2 linked regions of the Tamandua tetradactyla genome follow. The protein of the gene in region 2 purifies or fractionates together with the protein of the main gene of each other region. This does not show direct contact. Links are inferred from orthologs where the notes say so. Each region holds a gene or a part of one and is shown on either strand. Other genes may lie near its edges.

Region 1 (9,157 bases), on a different chromosome or scaffold from region 2:
CATCTTCTGCTACTCAGGCATTGTATTAGGATTATGTCATCAATAATCTTCAACAGTAGCATTTTTTGTCACATTAAAAGAAGGGTGAGCTTTCTTTAATATGTGAATACTGAAATTGAGTGGTTTATACCATTTTGCTTTAGCAATCAGTTTTCTCCAACAAGATGGGTGAGGCTTGTACTGTAATTCAAATATGGTGGCTGCTGTATAAATGAATATATGTTACATTATAGCTAATTTTATGTAGGTATATAGTTGTATAGTATAGTTAATTTTGTAAGGAATAATCTGTAACTGAGAAGATTTGCTTACATTGGGAATATTGATTTATAAGAACTTGGAGAAGCTACAATAAAATGCTTATTGAATTAATTTTTACTTCATTTAGTCATAATGTCAACTCTTTATATCTCCTCTTTCATTTAGAATAATTATTTGCTTTAAATATTTTTGAAACGAAGTTTTTTTAGTTTAACAGAAAATAAGGTGAACTAAATTCTCTAGTTGTAACTTTTGTATTTTTATTTTTCAACTTTTATTATAAAATGATCAAACATACAGAATACTTGCAAAAATAAACACCAATATAGCTATTACTTGTACAACATCTAATTGTAGCTTTTTCATGCCTGATTTTAGAATCTTGATTGGAGTTGGTTAACAGAGTGATCTGCTACTTGTTCACTGTCACCAAATTTATGGAAGTTGTTTGAGCACGTGTTGGAAATTTGTTTTTCTCCCATGAAACTATTCTGCAGAACCAGCCAGTGGAAGAAATGGTTATTATCAGAAGTCACTCATGATTTTACCTGCACAATGTTTTGAGTTTGATTACTTTTAACCTCCTTAAAGATAGGATTTTATAAAAAGTCAATGGACTTGTTCAAATACTACAGCTACTTAAGAGCATCTTTGTGACCCACTTGTCTCCAAATTTGGTATAAACATTACTTATTTAACTGATTAAAAATGCCTCTTAAAGTTTTGTCTTTTGGGCATAAGGCTGAAAATGTATATAGGAAGAACACCTCAACTAACATACATGTTAAATGTTGTCTGCCTGTGTTTCTGTTGGGACTGCTGCAAATAAAATTGAACTTGAAGAATAACCTGATCTCCTTGTGTTGCACTTAACAAGTGCTCTTCCTGGCATCATAAGGAGTTGGTTTAATCCCATTTTCAGTTTTAGGGCACATCTGACAGGATTGTGCCTCTGTATTTAATAACAGTCGACTCTCATAAATCTTGTTAAATGTGCTATGTGTACTGATAAGATGTATATTATTTAAGATGTACATTTAATAATATCAAAAGGAATTCACCCACGTTAATTTATAATGTATTTGTAAGCTTATCTGTTTTTCCTCTTGTAAAAATGGGTCATTTGTTGAAAGGATTTTTCATGTCTTGTCATATAAATTTATAAAGGTCTGCACTCCCTTTCTGTAATTCCAAAACCCCAAAAGCTCTGAAAATGAAATGTTTTTCATAAGCTTGGTGACAAAATTCATTTGCTTACAAATCTAATCTGAACTGATACTGAATCTACTTATCCCATTTAGTGTGAATATTCATTTTATTTGTTGTTGGAGAAATAGTGATGTGTTTGATTATGGGGTGCTGCCACAGACCCTGCTGGGGGGTTATGTAGTATATAGTGTATGCACTGAAGTATCTTTCTAAAATCTGAAAATTTCAGAATTCTGAAACATCTGGCCCCAAGAGTTTCAGATAAAGGATTGTGGATCTCTGTCATCTGTTAAGTAATTTAGAAGGTATTACTTGTTTTTTTAAAAATGTGAAATGCTTTTGTATTCAAAACAGTTTTTCACTTATTGTATTAAATGATTTTTAAATTACTTATTGAATCTATTCATTAAATCAAGCTGTAATAGAAGAGTTTAATATGGTTTAGAAATGTGAAGTTTCATAGAATTGGAACACAATAACATATAGGTTCTCATGGTTCTTGCTTTAGGAATTAAACAGGTTTTATGGTAAAGGCAGTGTTGGGAACCTTCTAATGTAGTCTTGTCCTCTCACTACTGTCCACATTTAAAAACCATGCTCATAACTTGCCCTATAAACTGATGTCATCTTCTCACCATCCTCATTTCTGCCATGTCATTTTCCCAGTCATCCAAGTTAGAAACCTTGAAATTGTCTTCTCATATCTTTTTAGTCATCTGGTATCACTGTTTCTAAAGATTTAAATTTTGTGCCTGTCAACTGCTATAATAGGCAGTCTTTTTCTTCTCTAGTTTTAGCAGATTTTAATCAATAAAATCTTTTATTGGACACCTGTTGCTTGGATGTTACTGAGCTAGATGGCAAAGTGAGACACAACACAGTAGAAGAATGCTTATCTGGGAATCAACACTGCAAGCCATCTCAGTATTGGAATTATGATTAAGGGATTTTTTTCATGACCATGCATTTTCTAAATAATAACTGATAAAAGATTTGTTTAGATGGGGCCATTTTGATGGTGTGCAGCTGGGTGATGTCAGAACTGCTTGAACCACATGACACAGGCAGATGGTATGAGTCACAACAGACTATGGCAGTGACATCAACCCAGATTTGCTTTTTTTTAGAAAGTAAGTGCTCCTTTACTGTAATCACCCCTTTAATAGATTTTAGATAATTGACAAGGACTTGGTGTAAGCTTCTGTTTAATTAGTTACAGTTCATTTCCAAGGTCTTGAGGAAAATGTATCAAGTAACAGCTGACTGGGAGATCATAATATGTGTGTGTGTGTATATATATATATGTATATATATGATCTACATTGGTGTGTGTTTGTGTAAATAAATATATATAAATATATTGAGAAAAAGTGAGTGTTACTAGCCAGATGTGACAAAGATCAAAGTAGTCTTTCTCATGCAGTTTCTATATCCAGTTATAACATCATCCTCATCTTCAAAGAGGACAGAGTCTTTGTAAAGCCCTGTCTTCTCTTTGCTGTTGTACCATATTCACTCAGTGAATATGATCACAGAGTGATCATTTCACTGGCATTCCGGGGCACATACTTAATGCACATCTTGGTCTTCGTGCCTATATCCCTACCCTCAAGGAGCACTCAATCTCAAGGGAGAAGCAGACAAAGTGGGCAGATAATTACAAGGCAGTGTGAAAAGGGACAGGCAAGGAGGGGTATGTAATTCATATTGCTTGAGCACTTTCTTCCCGGGCAATGACTTTGCTAGGTATTTTACAACTGTTACTTAGTTTAATGATGGTTACAGTTTTGGATAGTGGATACTATTATTTCTACAAAGACTCTGAGAATTTATGTGCATGCCAGTGGACTCCACAGGGAGAGAACCAGGGATATACATTGCCTGCTGTCAGGCTCCTCCTTGCCTCCATCTCCTGATGATGTCCTCCATTGGATGAAGCCAATTTGATACTAGAGGGCAAAAGATTCTGTATTACAAGTCCTCCCAGGACGGAGAATGGGAAGGCGTGGGTCTACTTGGAGACAGGCTGCTGGTGATCCTGGACTCCTGTCCCATGTCAAGGTACATGGTGGTATCTGCTGGTCTCCCCTTTGTCTTCCAGGTTCCATTGCTTCCAGCTTCTTGCTTCCATGGCTTTCTCCCCAGATTTGCTTCTGATGCATGGATTGACACCATTGTTTGTTTTTTGTTGGTTAACAGCTTTTCAGAGTTGAATGGCAACTGTGAATTTTATATATTCCATTTTCTAATCCAAGCTTGCTTTGCTTTAATGAAGACTTGAATTGATTCTGTTTACCCCCTCCTATCTTCTCTTCTTCTGTATCCTTAGATGTTTACTGCAGTTTCCTAATCACTTGGCTTCTCTACCTCCAGGCGTCCCTCTGGGCCATCTTGCTTAGCACTGGCAGTTCCACTGGCCTAAAGCACTACTTTCCCATAGTTCCCTGCTCAAGAGGTTACAGGTTTTCCAACCCTAGTCTACCTCATCCAGCTCAGGCTCCACTGTTAGCTTTTCAGTGCTTGCGCCATTACTGCCCAATTTTCTGTACTAATCTGTGCTTATTTCCCCATTTCCTTTGTCCTTTTTATTTTATTGAGCAGGTAATATATGTACATGACAGAGTTTTTTCGAAAAACTATGCAGTGATCCTCCCAGCAGAAAAAGGGCACATGAGCCTTTAAAAATCTGATCCTAGCCTACCATACCACTCCTTTCCATCACATAAGATTTTAAAGAAATTCAAGGGTTCACTGTTCATTTTAGTCCCCACAGACCTCCACCCCCATCTCCATCCCCCCACCCCCACATCCTTATATGCCTTAGTTCATTCTATTCCCATTGTGTGCATGCCACTCATAAAGTCCTCCCTGAATCAGCATAGGGTCTGGAATATAGAAGGTGCTCAGAAAATACCTGATAGTGTATATATGTATTAGCCACAATTAAAAAATTTTGAAGCTCGATGGGGGAGAAAAACCGACAAGTGAACGAGGCAGGTGGATCGAGTCTCTTGCTCTTCTGAATCCTTAGCACTTTATTTGCAACAAATCTCGGGAGCTCCTGAAGTTCATGACCCGTGCCTGAAGCTCCTACTTGTCACAAACAGCAGGACTCGGTATAAACCAGAAAAGGATTACAGCTACTAATGTACTAAGCAGGGGAATGGGTTCTCTATACAAGAACAAGCTGACCAGTTCCCTCTCCGAGAGACCCTTTCCTTTCCTCTACATCCCTACTTACACCAGACTACCAATTTCCCTTCTCTTTAGTAGAAGTTAGCCAGGGGTGTACAGAGAACCGACATTGTTGCGGAAGATTGCGAACCGGGCGGCTAAGAGAATTTTGTCCCGTCTGCTCCCCGTCTCTCTAGTCCCGGGCTAGCGGTAGCGTCTGTGTGCGTCCCCGCGCAGCCGCAGTTCTGGGAAGTGGGCGGGGCCGGCTTTTGGCGGCGTTAGGCGCAGCCTGGGAGGCGGCTGCACGTGCGGGCGGGGGCGATGCGTCACTGATCGGTGAGGCGCTGCCGGGTGTAGGGGATGGGGGTGGGAGTAGGGGTAGATCGGCCTCCTTCCGGAGCTTGCAGCTGGGCCCCTTCTCAGTTAGTGTGCCGGGCAGGGGAACCACCGTTGGGAGAGCGTGTGTCACGACGTTCACCAAGCAGGAGGCGGCCCATGGGCCGCCTCCGACAGTGGGGTTGGCAAAGGGGAAGCGAGGAGGGAAGAATGAAAGGAAAGGGGCTCAGGACTTCCTGGCTCGGTCTGCGGGAGGGCGCTGGGACTCCGGAGGGAGAGGGAGGAAATTGAAACGTGTGTCTGTCACTCACGGCACTGGGGGTCCTTTCCTGCCTCATCCAGGAGGAGCAAGAATGAATATGACTCAAGCCCGAGTGCTGGTGGCTGCAGTTGTGGGGCTGGTGGTTGTCCTCCTCTACGCCTCCATCCACAAGATTGAGGAAGGACACCTGGCTGTGTATTACAGGTGAGCTGCACGTGCAGTCAGTTCAGGTTCTAGAGCTGATTGAAAGTGGACTCCGCTAGAGTGGAGTCTAGGAAGTTGTGCCCTCAGCAGCGTCCTGGAGAAATCCTCTCCAGTCCTAGGAAGTGATTTACGTTCCAGCACTAGGAAGAGTACGGGAGCCGAAGCTGGCTTTTGCGGCGCACCCTCCCGGTGTTTAGCACGTTTTGTGCTCTGTAAGTTTTGCTGCAGAGGTTAAGACCTCTGACAGTTATTCTTAGTACACAGCATGCGCTTAATTATTTGTAGAATGAAGAAAGGAAGGCAGTAGTCACTCCGCCTGTAATTGGAGAGACGGATAAATTATTATATTCTCTACAACTATACAGGTTTTTAATTTGCAGCTATAGTGCTATTTAGAAAATCTGGTTCTGTTTATGGTTGTTCCTTAGCTTTTTCCTTTTAAAGTCTCAGTGTGTCTGGTTATGACTTATAAGGCCATGATGACCATAATAATTGTTAAATTCCAGAAGGGATATAAACATAGCATTGATGAGGCACCTTACGTTTTCTTTTCAAGTTGAGGAGAGGAATTTATGGGATATGTTACTGTCTAGTTAAGCTTGCATAGTTATCAATAGTTCTGTGTTGATATAGACTAGTAAGTGATGAGAGGACAATTTGTGGAGAAATTAGAATAATAGAATATATGAAAAGAGCTTCAACTTTTCTGTCATCCGTCCAAACCTGATATATCTGCTCTTAGATCCATCCTGGGTTTTAGAGACAGTCTTCAGTGTGAGGAACTTCTTATAAGTGCATTTTTAAGTGATATGTTTTAGCAGATGGAAATCTAGTATAACAGTTGGTAGATTAATCCAGATTTCCATCTAGTTCAGTGTTTTCTTTATAACAGTAAAACAAAGGAAAGAACATTTGAAGGTATGGCTCTCAAAGAATTAGAGGTGAATTTCAGATACTTCATCTTTCCTTAGTTATTTGTTATAGAATCTTTGCAAACCTATTTATAGTCTCAGGATAGGATAGTTCTATGAATTATGCGAAGTAGGACTTCTTTTTTATATTTGTTCCCAAAGTTCCTCCGTTTTTTACAGTTTTCAAGGTGGGCTTTCATAGTTTTCACATTCCAGAATTTGATGAACAAATCCAGGCTCATATTTTATGTCTAATCTTGCCCCTCACCCTTCATCTTTCCGTTCCAGTTATTTTCTTTTCTGTTTTCATATGGAGACTTTATGCCTTCAGTATTTTAGTTGCCATGCAGATAGATTAAAAGACTCTTGAGCCTCAGAAATTTTCTCTTCCTTAAGAGTTTGTGTTGCCTTCTTTTTTTCAACTTGGCAAGTAAATGTATTATGCTTGTATTATGCTTGATCTGGTTCTTGTTGTGTACAATTAAAATACAGAAACTGCAGGCGATTAGAATTTTTGTAAAAGCATTTCTCAGAAAGTTGAAGACACTCTTAGGCAATCCTTTGAACCTAAGAGTGGTGGTGGAGACCCAGAGGTGTGGTTGGCTAGGCTTATGAAACAAGGTGTAACATCCAGCAGTTTAATTTGATCTTTTTATCTGTTTTAAGTGTGGCAGGTATTTTAGGGAGTAGCAGTTCTTAGCTAGGAATAATTCGTGTTAGTGAGTCTTTAGTAGATCAGAGAGTGAATCTTTATTGTAGCATTTTAGATTTGGAAAGAGAAAGGTCTCTCTTTATAATCTTGTGAAATTGAAACATCTTTTTGCAGGGGAGGAGCTTTACTAACGAGCCCCAGTGGACCAGGCTATCATATCATGTTGCCTTTCATTACTACATTCAGATCTGTGCAGGTGAGTGATTTCTAGGGAAGCTGCCACACTGGATAGACAGGTGTGGCAGGGCCAGTTATCATACTCTTGGGTGGAGATGGATTTCCTATTGCTTAAAGACATAGTAGTATTTACTTACACTCAGGAGTTAAAGTTCAGAGTATAATTGTTATAGCACAAATTAATGATCCTCAGCTACCTCATTCTCTGGTAGTGTGTTATAAGTATGAGCTAAGCAGTTCGGAATGATTACTTTTCCCATCTATATAATGACAGGCAGCAGGTTTTCTGTAAGTATTTGTTGTTACTCTCAAAGTAAAAGCAAAAATTGCAACACACCTAGAAATACAAACCAGTGGTTATTTGATTTAGAACAGTGTTTGGTTTCCATTTAGGCAGTCTCCTGGGCTCCTGTTATGATCAAAGATTTAAACTTTTGTACACAGCTTTTCTGCCTCAAATTTTTACCTGATCCATTAAACACAATATTATGTGGAACCTTAGTGAATGCTTTATCTTGACAGTATCCCAGAATATTCTAAATGAGCATCTAGTTATCAAGAAGAGTATCTTGGCCATGGGAGACATTTAATGTTTTAATATAACAAAATGCAAAACAGGATTAGGTTTACTACTTTAGCAAGCTCAGTATCATCATAAATCTTTGGCTTCTGAAGAAATTTGTCTGCTGTTTACTGTCTATGTTGTTGAGTCTTAGCCTTATAATTTAAGTCTAGGTTTCCTCCTAAGAGTGTCTATATGAATACTTAATCTCCTATATTTCCTTCCTCTTTTAGGTGGCTTAGGTCAAGAATTGTGTTTATTGAAGTGTAATGTGTTCTTCCCTTAGATTGATTTTCATATTGTTTGCCCATATATATTTTTTTTACCCTTCTGCTGTCACCTCTTCTCTCACCATCCCTCCCTCCATTTATTCTCCCCTTTCCCAACTAAATCTTTCCAGCCTTTTTAAGGGTTACCTCAAATCCTTCTTGGTTGCTTTTTTTTTTTTTTTTTTTTACATGGGCAGGCATCGGGAATCGAACCCGAGTCCTCGGGCATGGCAGGCAAGCACTCTTACCTGCTGAGCCACTGTGGCCTGCCCTCAAATCCTTCTTATCTGTAGTTCTTAAAGCCTCTATTGTAAACTTTCACCCTCATTCTTATTTCCGTTAATAGTGTTTCTTGTATTTTTTCTAAGTTTTTGAATTTTCTTTTCAGAAAGTCTCAACGTTCTTGAGAGCAGGGATTGTGTCACGTTTATGTTACTGCCCTTTCCATTTATGGTGGAAGGTGTTAAATTGAGCTAATTTCTCAAAAAGTATTGTGTTTCAGTGAACAGGGGCTAGAAATCTGGAGACTTAAGTTCTAGTCCTGGTTCTGCCCCAGTTGATTGTGTGACTTTAGGCAAATCACCTAACTGTTGTAGATTTCAGTTATTCCTCTCTGAAAGAAGAGGTTTCAATTATATAACCTCACCTTTCCAACAGCCCAAACAAACCATCTATAATAATGTTATTAACAGTGTTGTCAGACCCTCACTGGAAATCAGGGGAATTTTTTTATATTGTTCAAAGCCAGGTAAATCTGTCCCGCCTTCTTGAAGCTTGGTATGTTAAGTTATACTGATGCAGAGACACATAAAGGAGATATAGACCATAAACATTAAACAGATTTTAGAGCTTAATTGCATATGTAGCAAATACAATTATACAGTAAATATATAGTAATAAACTATTATCCTTATAAGGCATATAAATTAAACAAGAAGGACGTTATCAGTGAAAACTAATATACTTTGCATCTAAAAAAAATTAAATGCTGAGTCCAATATGACTAAGTAGGAATCTTCTTTCTTTATATGTGAAATGGTAACTTTCTAATAATAAAACCTTTTTAAAAAATTGTTCATA
Region 2 (9,502 bases):
TTTTTGGTGATTGTTGCTAGTCTTCTTCCCCACCTCTCCCTTCCTCATCCTACTTCTTTGAGACAACAATCATAATCCTTTAGTGTACTCAGTACAGTGCTATTTACAAAGCAATTTCACATGCATTATCTCCTCTGGTCCTCCTTGCAAGCCTATGAGGTGGGCAGGGCTGCCATTACCACCTCGATTTCACAGATGAAGAAACCAAGGCGCAGAGAGGCAAAGTTAAGCCCGAGGTCATTATTGGGGTTGGTGGTAGCGCTAGCGTGGAGCCCAGGTCACCCTGTCGATTACGCCCTCCCGACCACCGGGGTCTCCCTCCCGCAGGAGGCGGCGGCGGTAGAGGGTGGAACGCGGGCTTTGAAGCTGAATGGTCCTGGGTTCCATGCTAGACGCTCCCACTTACCAGCGGTGTGACCTTGGACAAGTAGTTTCGACTCTCTGCCTAAGTCTCCTCACCTATGAAATGAGAAAGCAGCGCCCATCTCGCCGGGCGCCTGTGGAGCCCGAGTGCGCAGCTTTGCAATGGCGCGGGGCCAGTGATGTAAGGGGCTCCCATACCCACCCAGGCCTAGGACACCAAGAGACCGTAGTCACAGTCCCAAACACAAATTCCCGCCCCGACCTCCCGAGGCCCACCCCGGCAGGCGCCACCCCTACATGGCTCCCCAGGCCCCGCGCAGGTCGCTGCCTCAGTCGGCCTCGGGGGCCGGGAGTCGGGATCCCCCCGCGGCCTCCTCATCGGCGGGCCACCGAGTCCGCCATCTTCCCAGCAACCCCCGGATTGCCGCCCGAACGCCAATCCCAGCTAAGTCTTCAGCCAGCAAAGACGTGGCTCCCGTCAGGCCCTGCGAGCTCGGGGCGCCACGAGCCCCGCCTCCCGCTTCCCGGAAGCTGCGCGCGCGCCGCCGGGGGCGGAGGAAAAGGAAGACGTGGGCAGAGCCAGAGCAGAAGGGGCAGGGCCCTAAAAGCAAAGCGCTGAAGCTGAGGGGCGAAGGGGAGGATAAGGCGTCAGCTGTCAGCCTGGGAGAGTTGAACAGGAGCCAAAGGCCCAATCAGTGCTCTTGACTCCTTTTTCTCTCAATGTGCAAGGGCTCCCTGTCCCTAGTCCCCAACCCCATAGACCCTACACATTCAGACACAAGCCAAGGGTGAAAACTTCACAGTTATTTTAATCTGCACATGTTCCAGTCAACCCCCCCTGTCCCTCCCAGCTACCCTTCCATAGCCTCCCACTTAGTCCTTGGGTCCCCAAATTAGTCCAAAGAGTTACTGGGGACTAAAGGTGGCTGGGCTCTCAGCCTGAACACTAAGACCGGCCCAGGGGGGTTGCCTGGCTCTGCCCAGGGCCAAGGCAGTGACAGCAGCTGCCTGACCCTGAGGAACCAACTGTCAGTGGGAGTTGAGGGCCAGCAGCCTCCGGAGGTGGCCCAGAGCCATGGAGGTCACAGGGAGAGGCATCCGCGGACCCCTGGAGTCCTCGGCGGCGCAGGGCTGGGCTCCAAGGCAGAGGGAACACACAAGCCGGAGAAGCAGGCCTGGGCAGACAGCAGCTCCCACTGTGTCGTGGGGAACACGGTCCGAATGGGCCAGCAACACTGCCAAGAGCTCGTGGAGGCACTACGGGTGGTACATGGCAAAGGCGAGGAGACTGAGGAGCAGGGTGAAGCCGGCCAGGCCCAGAGTGGCCGTCAGGGGAAAGAAGGGCCGGTACTGGATCTGGCAGTACCAGAGCAGCAGCAGCATCAGAAGCAGCAGGGGCAGCAGCAGGCTGCCGATTTCCAGCCCGGAGGGGCCTGGCTCTGACCCCGGAGGGCAGGGGGGGTGTGGGGGACCGACCCGTGTGGACACGTGGCAGTGGAGAACGCAGTTGGGAGGGAGATGAAGGCTGCCCAGGGTCTGGGTATCGTCTCCTAGAAGTTGCCCTTGGTAGATGAGTCGCACCTGCTGCTCCCGGCCGGGAAACTGGGTCCTGAGGAGAGAGGGACCTGGGTAAGAGAGCAGGCCTCAGGCAATCCTAGTCCCTTGCCCCAGAACAGCACTCCCACTCACCCCTCACCTTTGCCCTCCATCCCACCACCCAGGGCTTGGTCTCAGGGGATGCAGTCTGCCATAGTGGAACAAGTACTAGATCCGTGTGTGATTTGGAGACTTCACTGTTCTCATCTATAAAATGAAGGGGGAATCTCAGTCTCTGATGGCCCTTCCAGGTCTGTAATGGCTCCCACCCCATTCTTTAGCATTTCATTCCAGTCTACAGCCCCCTTCAGCACAGCTTACCTTTTCAAGGAGCCAATGGTGTCGTGGGGCCAGGCCCTGGCCACCTGCTCTGAATCGTTGAGGAATTTCAGCCGGAGCACTAGGGGCTCCTGTGATGAGTCTGGTGGTAGTGGTGTTGCTGGAAGCCCAGGGCCAGGCTCTGGCTGGGCAGCCTGACCTCTGTGTCTCAGGCTGGGGACCTCGGCTCCTGGGGCCTCGCCTCTGATGTTGTTGATGACTGCCATGGTTTCGCTGTGCTGTGCTGGAGTCGGGGTCCCTGGTGACTGGGGCAGTGGGTCAGGCCCCTCCGTGGTGTGTGTTGAGACCCAAGCGAGGGCCAGCACCAGAAGGCAGGCAAGCACCGCAAAAAGGATGGTTACCTCATCACCCACCCCTTCAATCAGGGCCATGGCACCTGACTTGCTCGCTGCGCTACCGAGCTGAAGGGGCACAAACAATCCATGAGGGGCTATCTCTCTGACCAAATGCTCTGAAAGCAACAGCCTCCACCCCACCCCACCGCAACTCTCCTTCAGCCCTCATTCCTCCAGGGCACAGACTGCTCTGACTCTCAGGCCTCCCAAATTTATCTCCATGTATTCTCATCACCAAATCCCCAATCCTAGGGGATTTGGTGATGGGCAACCTGAATTCTAGGTCGTTAACCAGTTCCCTAATTCATACACTCCTTATCCTTTGACATTCTAAGCAAACTCTTCCCTAAATTCAAACCCACCAAACTTCACCCCAAAACTTATCTACTCCTCTACTTTTCATCTCAAAGTGTATTTACTCCTTCATCTATCTCACACCCACCACCACTCCCGCAAAGCCTATCTACTACTTGGTCGCTAAAGTTTCTTCAAGAAGGGAAACAAAAAAAAAAAGGCGCCTACGTTTTCCCCTCTCCACCTCCCCGTTGCACAAACCCCCCCGCCCAGCACAAGATGCTTCCTAAGGCTTCACCCACACCAAATGTCAAACTCCGTCCCTCGGCAATCTGGAGCCTCCGTGAGTTGCCCACCCCATCCAATTTAGCCCCCTCCTAGTCCACTCAAAACCCACTCCACCGCGGCCCGACTCTGCAGCGCCTTTCCTAACCCACCCGGCTGCCAGACCCCAGATCCTGCCCCAGGAATCGGATACTCTACCCTCCCTACCCCCAACTCCTCCATTACCCCTTCCATTTTCCCGCCTCCCCGCCCCCCACCCCGAGCCACGGGAAGACACGGGCGATTCCGGGGCGGAGCCGGGACAAGCTAAGACCCAGGGCGTTGGGGTGGGCGCGGTCAAGGCGCGGGTACTCACCGCCCCGCTCCGCCAGCTCCATATCGGACCCTCGGACACTTCCGGGCGGGAGGCGCCGAGGTCGCAGTTACCTGAAGGCTCCCTCTCCTTCCTCGCCGCCGTGGCCCAAAGCATTGTGGGAATTGTAGTCTGGCGGTCGTGCGCAGTCCCCGCCCTCCGCCCTGCGGATCCACGTGCGGGTTCGGCTGGCTGTTCCAGGTCTCAGGCGTCCGCGGGGGTGGATTCTGGGGTTGCCCTAACACCAGAGTTTGTGCGGGAGCCGGACAGACCCTCTTTCCTGATGGCTGCCAGGGCATCTGTCACTCTAGAACACTTAAGACACCAGTGTCAGCTGGAGCATGTTGGAGTGCCCTTGTTTGATATGCAGTGAAGGCTATGGTGAAGTTGGAGTCTAGAGTTCAGGTGGCCCTAGCCCCGGCCTACTCCTATGACAGGGTGGACGCCAGAAGACACTTTGGGGCCCAAACTATGTCTCCAGCCCAGAGTTCAGTATCCATGGGCTGACCTACCTCTCCCTGGGTTTCCTCCTCCACCTTAGGACCGTGAAAGAAGAATGGATTTTGGAACCAGAGAGGAAAAACAAATCCCTTATCCTGTGCTTATCAAGGACCTTGTGGTGGTTATTTAATCTTTTTGTCCCTAAGTTTTTTCCTTCCTGAAACATACCTCATAAGGCTGTTTGTTCTAAGGAAGAAATTAGTTTTTTTGTTTTTTTTAAATAAAATAGTGTGAGAACTATGTAAGGCGTCTGACACACAGTAGTATCACTTGGTATCAATACACTCCTTCAGCCAGGCTTGGGCTGGGAAATTGGGTACACAGGGTTTTACTGTGGAGAGAATATTGAGCCCTAGCCTGGCCTGGGCCAACTCATCTTGTGGATTTATCTTCCTTCCTCTGGCCTCTTCTCGCACAGAGGTCTCATACTATGGACCTGACTGACATTCCAGCCTTGATTAAAAGTAATCCACCCTAATGTTCCAATAGCAGAGCAACTTGAGAGAACAGGACTCCAGGTATTGCTTTGGGAATGTCAGGTTAGATTTATAATTTACAGAACTAACTTATCTCTAGTTCCTTCCTTCCCATTTGTTCATTTATTCTACCAACATTTATTAACTACATACTATATGCCAGGAGCTGTGCAGGATGCTGGGAATACAATGTTCAACTAGACCCTTTCCTTGCCCTCTAATATAGAGACAGACATGTAAACAGCCTACCAGTACTAACACAGGTGTGTGCCACTTGCTGGGACAGCACATTTGAGGAGCTCTTTACTTATCCTCAGAATTCTCTTAGGAGGTCCCTAGTGCAAATTCTTATTATTAATCCTTTTTAAACATCTAAAAGAGATGTTAGATGTTGTTTTTAGAATGATAGAATATCAGAGCTATGTGTTACGTCTTCCACTATGTTTCACAATTGAGGGCCAGAAGGTACAGGACATCCTTTAGGTCACACACGTAAATAGAAACCCCACATCTCCCAGTTGCCAGGGAGCCCTCAAGTGTTGATGAGCTTGCACTTGATTCTTTGGAAGTTACCAGAAACTTTAGAGTGGTGACTGGGTTTGTCCTGGGGCAGAGTTGTGTGAGTAGCTGAATGGTGGACAACTGAATGCTGAGGAAAGTTGGTCCTGAAATATAAAAGTGTGTGGAAAACGGATGGCATGTATCAATTGTGCTGGAGGACACCTGGATATATTCTTGGCGGGGCTATTGGTTGGGGCAACTACCTTCCACCTGCTACCTCTTGTGGATTTAGGAAAGGTTATGCGGAGAGGTGACTGGCAGAACTGCAATAGCTGTGGCAGTGGGGATGGAAAGAAACTGGGAAAAGTGAAGGGCCCCAGAAAGAGCGGCCCCCAGGAAGGATGGTGCACCAGGACTTGAGTGAGGACCGGAGTGAAGAAAGCCATGTATGGCTTGTGATGAGACTCTGAATGGGGTGGGTGGGGGAAGAAGGCACAATATTGATTCCTCCCTCTTCTTCCTCTAATTACTAATGGAGTCCTGCTGCATTTTGTGCTCCCTCCCCAATCCGGGAAGGATGGGGTTCTTTCAGGAGAGGAGGGTCATAAGGAGACAAGAGTGGGGGCATTGTTGCTCAAAGTGTCATTTCAAGGACCCCGCGGATGAAGCTCTCAGGGAGAACTCGACATAGAAGTTGGGAATCCAGATTCGTAGCCTCTGTACTGCAGCGGACAGTGGAGACACGGGGCATAGAGCCAGGGGGAGAAGCCCGGGAGCAGGGTGGTCTTTAGGACTAACCTCTTGGCCCAGGGACAGCGGATCCTCGGCCCTACAGGAGCCAGGAAGATGTGAGAAACAGCGGGGCCAATCAGTCGCGTGAATCAGCACCCTCCGGCGCAGGGACTGTTCAGGCACTGCCCAGAGATCTGACACCCCGCCCGGACCAGCCCAGGGAGGCGAAAGCGACAGCCCAGGCCTGGGTGGAGCCCAGAGCAGCTGTCCCCTCAGAACGGGTGGCCCTTGAGGCGGGTGTGGGTGGGGGCTGGTGTAGAGGCGGAAGGGCCGAGGCTGGGGTGGGAGGGGCCGGGGACGCTGAGGCTGGAACGCTCAGCTCCGGAGTGGAGGCGGCTGAGAGCTGAGCGAGGGGCGGGGGTGCTGGGGTCGTGCGTGCAGGAGGGGCGGGGGCGGTGGGGAGGGGGCTTGGGCTGCGTGTGCAGGAGCCGGCGGGGGCGGCGGTGCGTGCGCATGACGCGGGGGGAGGGCCCGGGCCGCGCGCTCCCGGTCCCGTTGTTGTTGCCGCTGGAGGCTGGTTGGAGGCTGCGGGATCGCGGCGCCGGGTAGTGCCCGGCAGCAGCGGCCACAGCGTGAGCGGCGGCGGCTCCTGGCCTCGGCCTCGGCCCGGCCCCCGGCCCCCGGCCCCCAGCCCCATGCGCTAGCCCCGCGCCGCCGGCTCCACAGTCCCGGCCCCGCCAGTCCCGCGTGCCCGCCGCCGCAGCTCCGCCCCGGGCCCCAGCCGGGCCCGACTCGGGCTCCGCGGCTCCGGAGCCATGAACTTCCAGGCGGGCGGGGGGCAGAGCCCGCAGCAGCAGCAGAGCCTGGCGGCTCCGGGGGGCGGCGGCGGCGGCGGCAGCGGCGCGGGGGGCGGCGGGCAGTTCGGCGGCGCCGGGCCCGGGGCCGGGGGCGGCGGCGGCCCCTCGCAGCAGCTGGCTGGCGGGCCCCCCCAGCAGTTCGCGCTCTCCAACTCGGCGGCCATCCGGGCGGAGATCCAGCGCTTCGAGTCCGTGCATCCCAATATCTACGCCATCTACGACCTGATCGAGCGCATCGAGGACTTGGCGCTGCAAAACCAGATACGGGAGCACGTCATCTCCATCGAGGGTGAGCGGAGCCGGGGGCTGCGGGAGCCCGGGCACGTTGGCCCTTTCGGCGCTGGCCGGGGACACTGCGGGGCCGGTCTGGCCATGCCGACCCGGGTCTAGTGTCCTTGCGCGCCTGAGTTTCGGGCCACGCGGTTCGCTGATCTGTGGCGCTGCAGAGCCGGCGTCAGGGCTTCCCTATATCTCATCCAGGCACACTCTGGGGCTGAAGGCCCGTCCCATGTTTTCAGTTCATGGTGCTATCGGGCGCGAGCGTGGCGTCGCCTCGGTGACCGGGCTGGGGCCAGATGTGGTCAGGCATGGTCGGGGAGGGTCGGCGCGGCGAAGGGGCCTTGGTAGGCCAGGAGGTGGGTCCGCCGCGGTAGAGGCATCCTAGCAGTTACTCGGTCCTTGCCCCGCGGCCGGCGGGGAACTAGAGTCTCCCGTTAGTGGATGGCAGCTTTCCCGGGCTCAGTTCCTGTGGGCCCCGGAGGGTGGCGCTCGCTGAGTCTCTCCCTCTTGGGCTCACACCCCCCCACGCCGCCGCGGTGGAGCAGACTGCGGGCCTGGCCTGGCTAGTGGCTTTGGCGCCGCGGCCGCGTGGGCGGCGTCGGCGGATCTGTGGGCGCCTCAGCCCTTCTGCAACCGGCCTCTGGCACCCACCGCTGCTCTCGGGGTGGGAGGCTGCTGGGCGCTGACTGATCTTTTGGGACGCTGCACCTGGTTTCCGGGACCCGAACTCTCAGGTCACTACACTGCCCAGCCCGCCTTCTCTGGATTCTCGTACCCTGGGCTTGTGGCTGCCCACAAGCTGTGGACAGATGAAGCGGGTGCGAGCTGCTGACAGATGCCCCAGGACCCCGGGTGTGGTGGGGGGCTGGCCGCTCCCGCAGGCATCCCCTGTGGCATGATGACCTTCGAGCCGAGGCAGGCAGATGGGCCTCGCCCTGCGCCATCTGCTTACTCTTCCCGCCCCTATTTGAATGGGGACGCCCACCAGCAGGTGGTGGGTTTCGCCTGAGTGGAAATGCCAGGGATAGTGCAAGGTCTTTTGCTCATAACGTGGAGTTGTGGGCAGGGCCCTGTCCAGTACTTGGGCCTTTCAGTCAGTACTGCACTCCTGTCCTCTCCTAGCTATGTGAGGCTCTGGACAGTCCACTTGAATGCCACCTTTCTGCATTCAGGGGCCCCCGTATCTGAGGAAGGTGCATTTGGTCTTTTGGAATAGAAAACCGCATTTAAAGCTGGGATACTGTCCTTTTGTTGTAAAGGTTCCAGTCTGACTTCCTTCTGTCCTTTTCCCAACCCTCTTGTCTTTTTCCTCTTAAGGCTGAGTTCACCGTGAACTAATTAGGTGACAGAAAAAACTCATTAGCATGGATCTGAGTCAATGGCCTGAATCATGGTTGTGGCTGGGGACCTGGAGATGGCATTTGTGTGAGCTGGGGCCACAAAGAGGAGGAGAGGACCAATTTTTCTTTCTAGATTGAAAGGGAGTGGGGGTGGGGAGAGATGCTTTTCCCTTGAAGCTTTATACCCTCTGAGGAAGTAAGAGAAGTTCCAGATCAAATCCAAGATATCCCCTCCCAGTACCTTTTGCATTGTGAAGACATGGTTAGTGGGACAGCCACAGAAGAAGTTAAGAGCCCTTCCGAGGAATACAGGCAGGCAGGAAATCAGCCCAGTTTTGGATCTAACTCCAGCTCCCTTTAACAGTGGCCCAGCCCCAGTTTAGGGGGTCTCTGGTTCAGAGGGCATCTTCTGCTGTGAAGTGAGAGTCATGGTTCCAAGGATGCACTTGGGTTTTTCACTGCTATCTTAAATTCAATGTAACAGGCAGAATTTCCCCTCTCAGAGCCTTCCCCCTGGCCAATTTCCCCATTGCGGTTTGGAAATACCCCGTGATTCCATCTGCTTAGCTTGGAAGCTTGGTATCACCATCACAAAATCCTGGGACCCAATGTCTCATTGTCACCAGACCCAGCTGCTGCTCACACATCCTTTCTCAGCTCTCTTGCCATTTCCCCTTCATGATCCCTGGTTTCCTGCTCTTTCTTGGCAAGGTCTCCCAACCTCTCCTCCTTCTCCCCATCTATTTTTTTTTTTTTTTCCCTAGGCGCTCTCCTGGAACCCATCTTTATTACCCATCTCACCCCTGCTTTCCCACTTCTGTCTCCCCAGCTCTTCTGCTGTAGGCAGGCCTTAAAAAAAAACTCCTCCAATTTCTGCCCTATATCCTTCCTGCAATAGTCTCTCTCCATCTGCCAAACCATATTGCTTCTGTCCTGCAGAGCAGCATCCCCACCTTCTTTCCCCAGGGGGTGAGAGGAGCAGATTCTGCGGGGCGTTTCCCTTGCTTACTCTGAGCCTGGGCTGAGCCCACCCTGCCTGGGCCGAGTGGACCTAAGTTGGGGTTGTTACATAAACACTTACGTCGCCTTGGATGCTGGATCATCTGTTTACTAGGATGTGAGCTTCTTAGTGGAAAGGGATGACATTTTCAGAGTGCATAAGAAAACCTCTGCCTCACTCTGATGAGTGTTCTGGTGAATGGTTTGTCTGCCCCAGCCCTGAAGGAGAGCTGGGAGATGTAGTTGGTAGATC

What was found.
Region 1: the proteins of TMUB1 (region 2) and ERLIN1 purify together in Homo sapiens (affinity purification with mass spectrometry; 3 studies listed by BioGRID and IntAct, with this or other methods). This does not show direct contact. The link is inferred for Tamandua tetradactyla from reciprocal best matches to the Homo sapiens genes TMUB1 and ERLIN1.

The regions. Positions count from the first base shown.
Region 1 is NC_135339.1:61,665,647-61,674,803, reverse strand, and holds the start of ERLIN1 (erlin-1), read left to right. Parts: upstream 1-4,877; 5' UTR 4,878-4,980; intron 4,981-5,322; 5' UTR 5,323-5,333; coding exon 5,334-5,446; intron 5,447-7,183; coding exon 7,184-7,265; intron 7,266-9,157. Other genes in the region: CHUK (inhibitor of nuclear factor kappa-B kinase subunit alpha), read left to right, coding at 640-669. UniProt on the Homo sapiens protein: Component of the ERLIN1/ERLIN2 complex which mediates the endoplasmic reticulum-associated degradation (ERAD) of inositol 1,4,5-trisphosphate receptors (IP3Rs).
Region 2 is NC_135327.1:195,010,225-195,019,726, forward strand, and holds TMUB1 (transmembrane and ubiquitin-like domain-containing protein 1), read right to left. Parts: upstream 3,703-9,502; 5' UTR 3,682-3,702; coding exon 3,568-3,681; intron 2,700-3,567; coding exon 2,281-2,699; intron 1,973-2,280; coding exon 1,621-1,972; 3' UTR 1,153-1,620; downstream 1-1,152. Other genes in the region: FASTK (fas-activated serine/threonine kinase), read right to left, coding at 460-559; AGAP3 (arf-GAP with GTPase, ANK repeat and PH domain-containing protein 3), read left to right, coding at 6,590-6,920. UniProt on the Homo sapiens protein: Involved in sterol-regulated ubiquitination and degradation of HMG-CoA reductase HMGCR. Involved in positive regulation of AMPA-selective glutamate receptor GRIA2 recycling to the cell surface.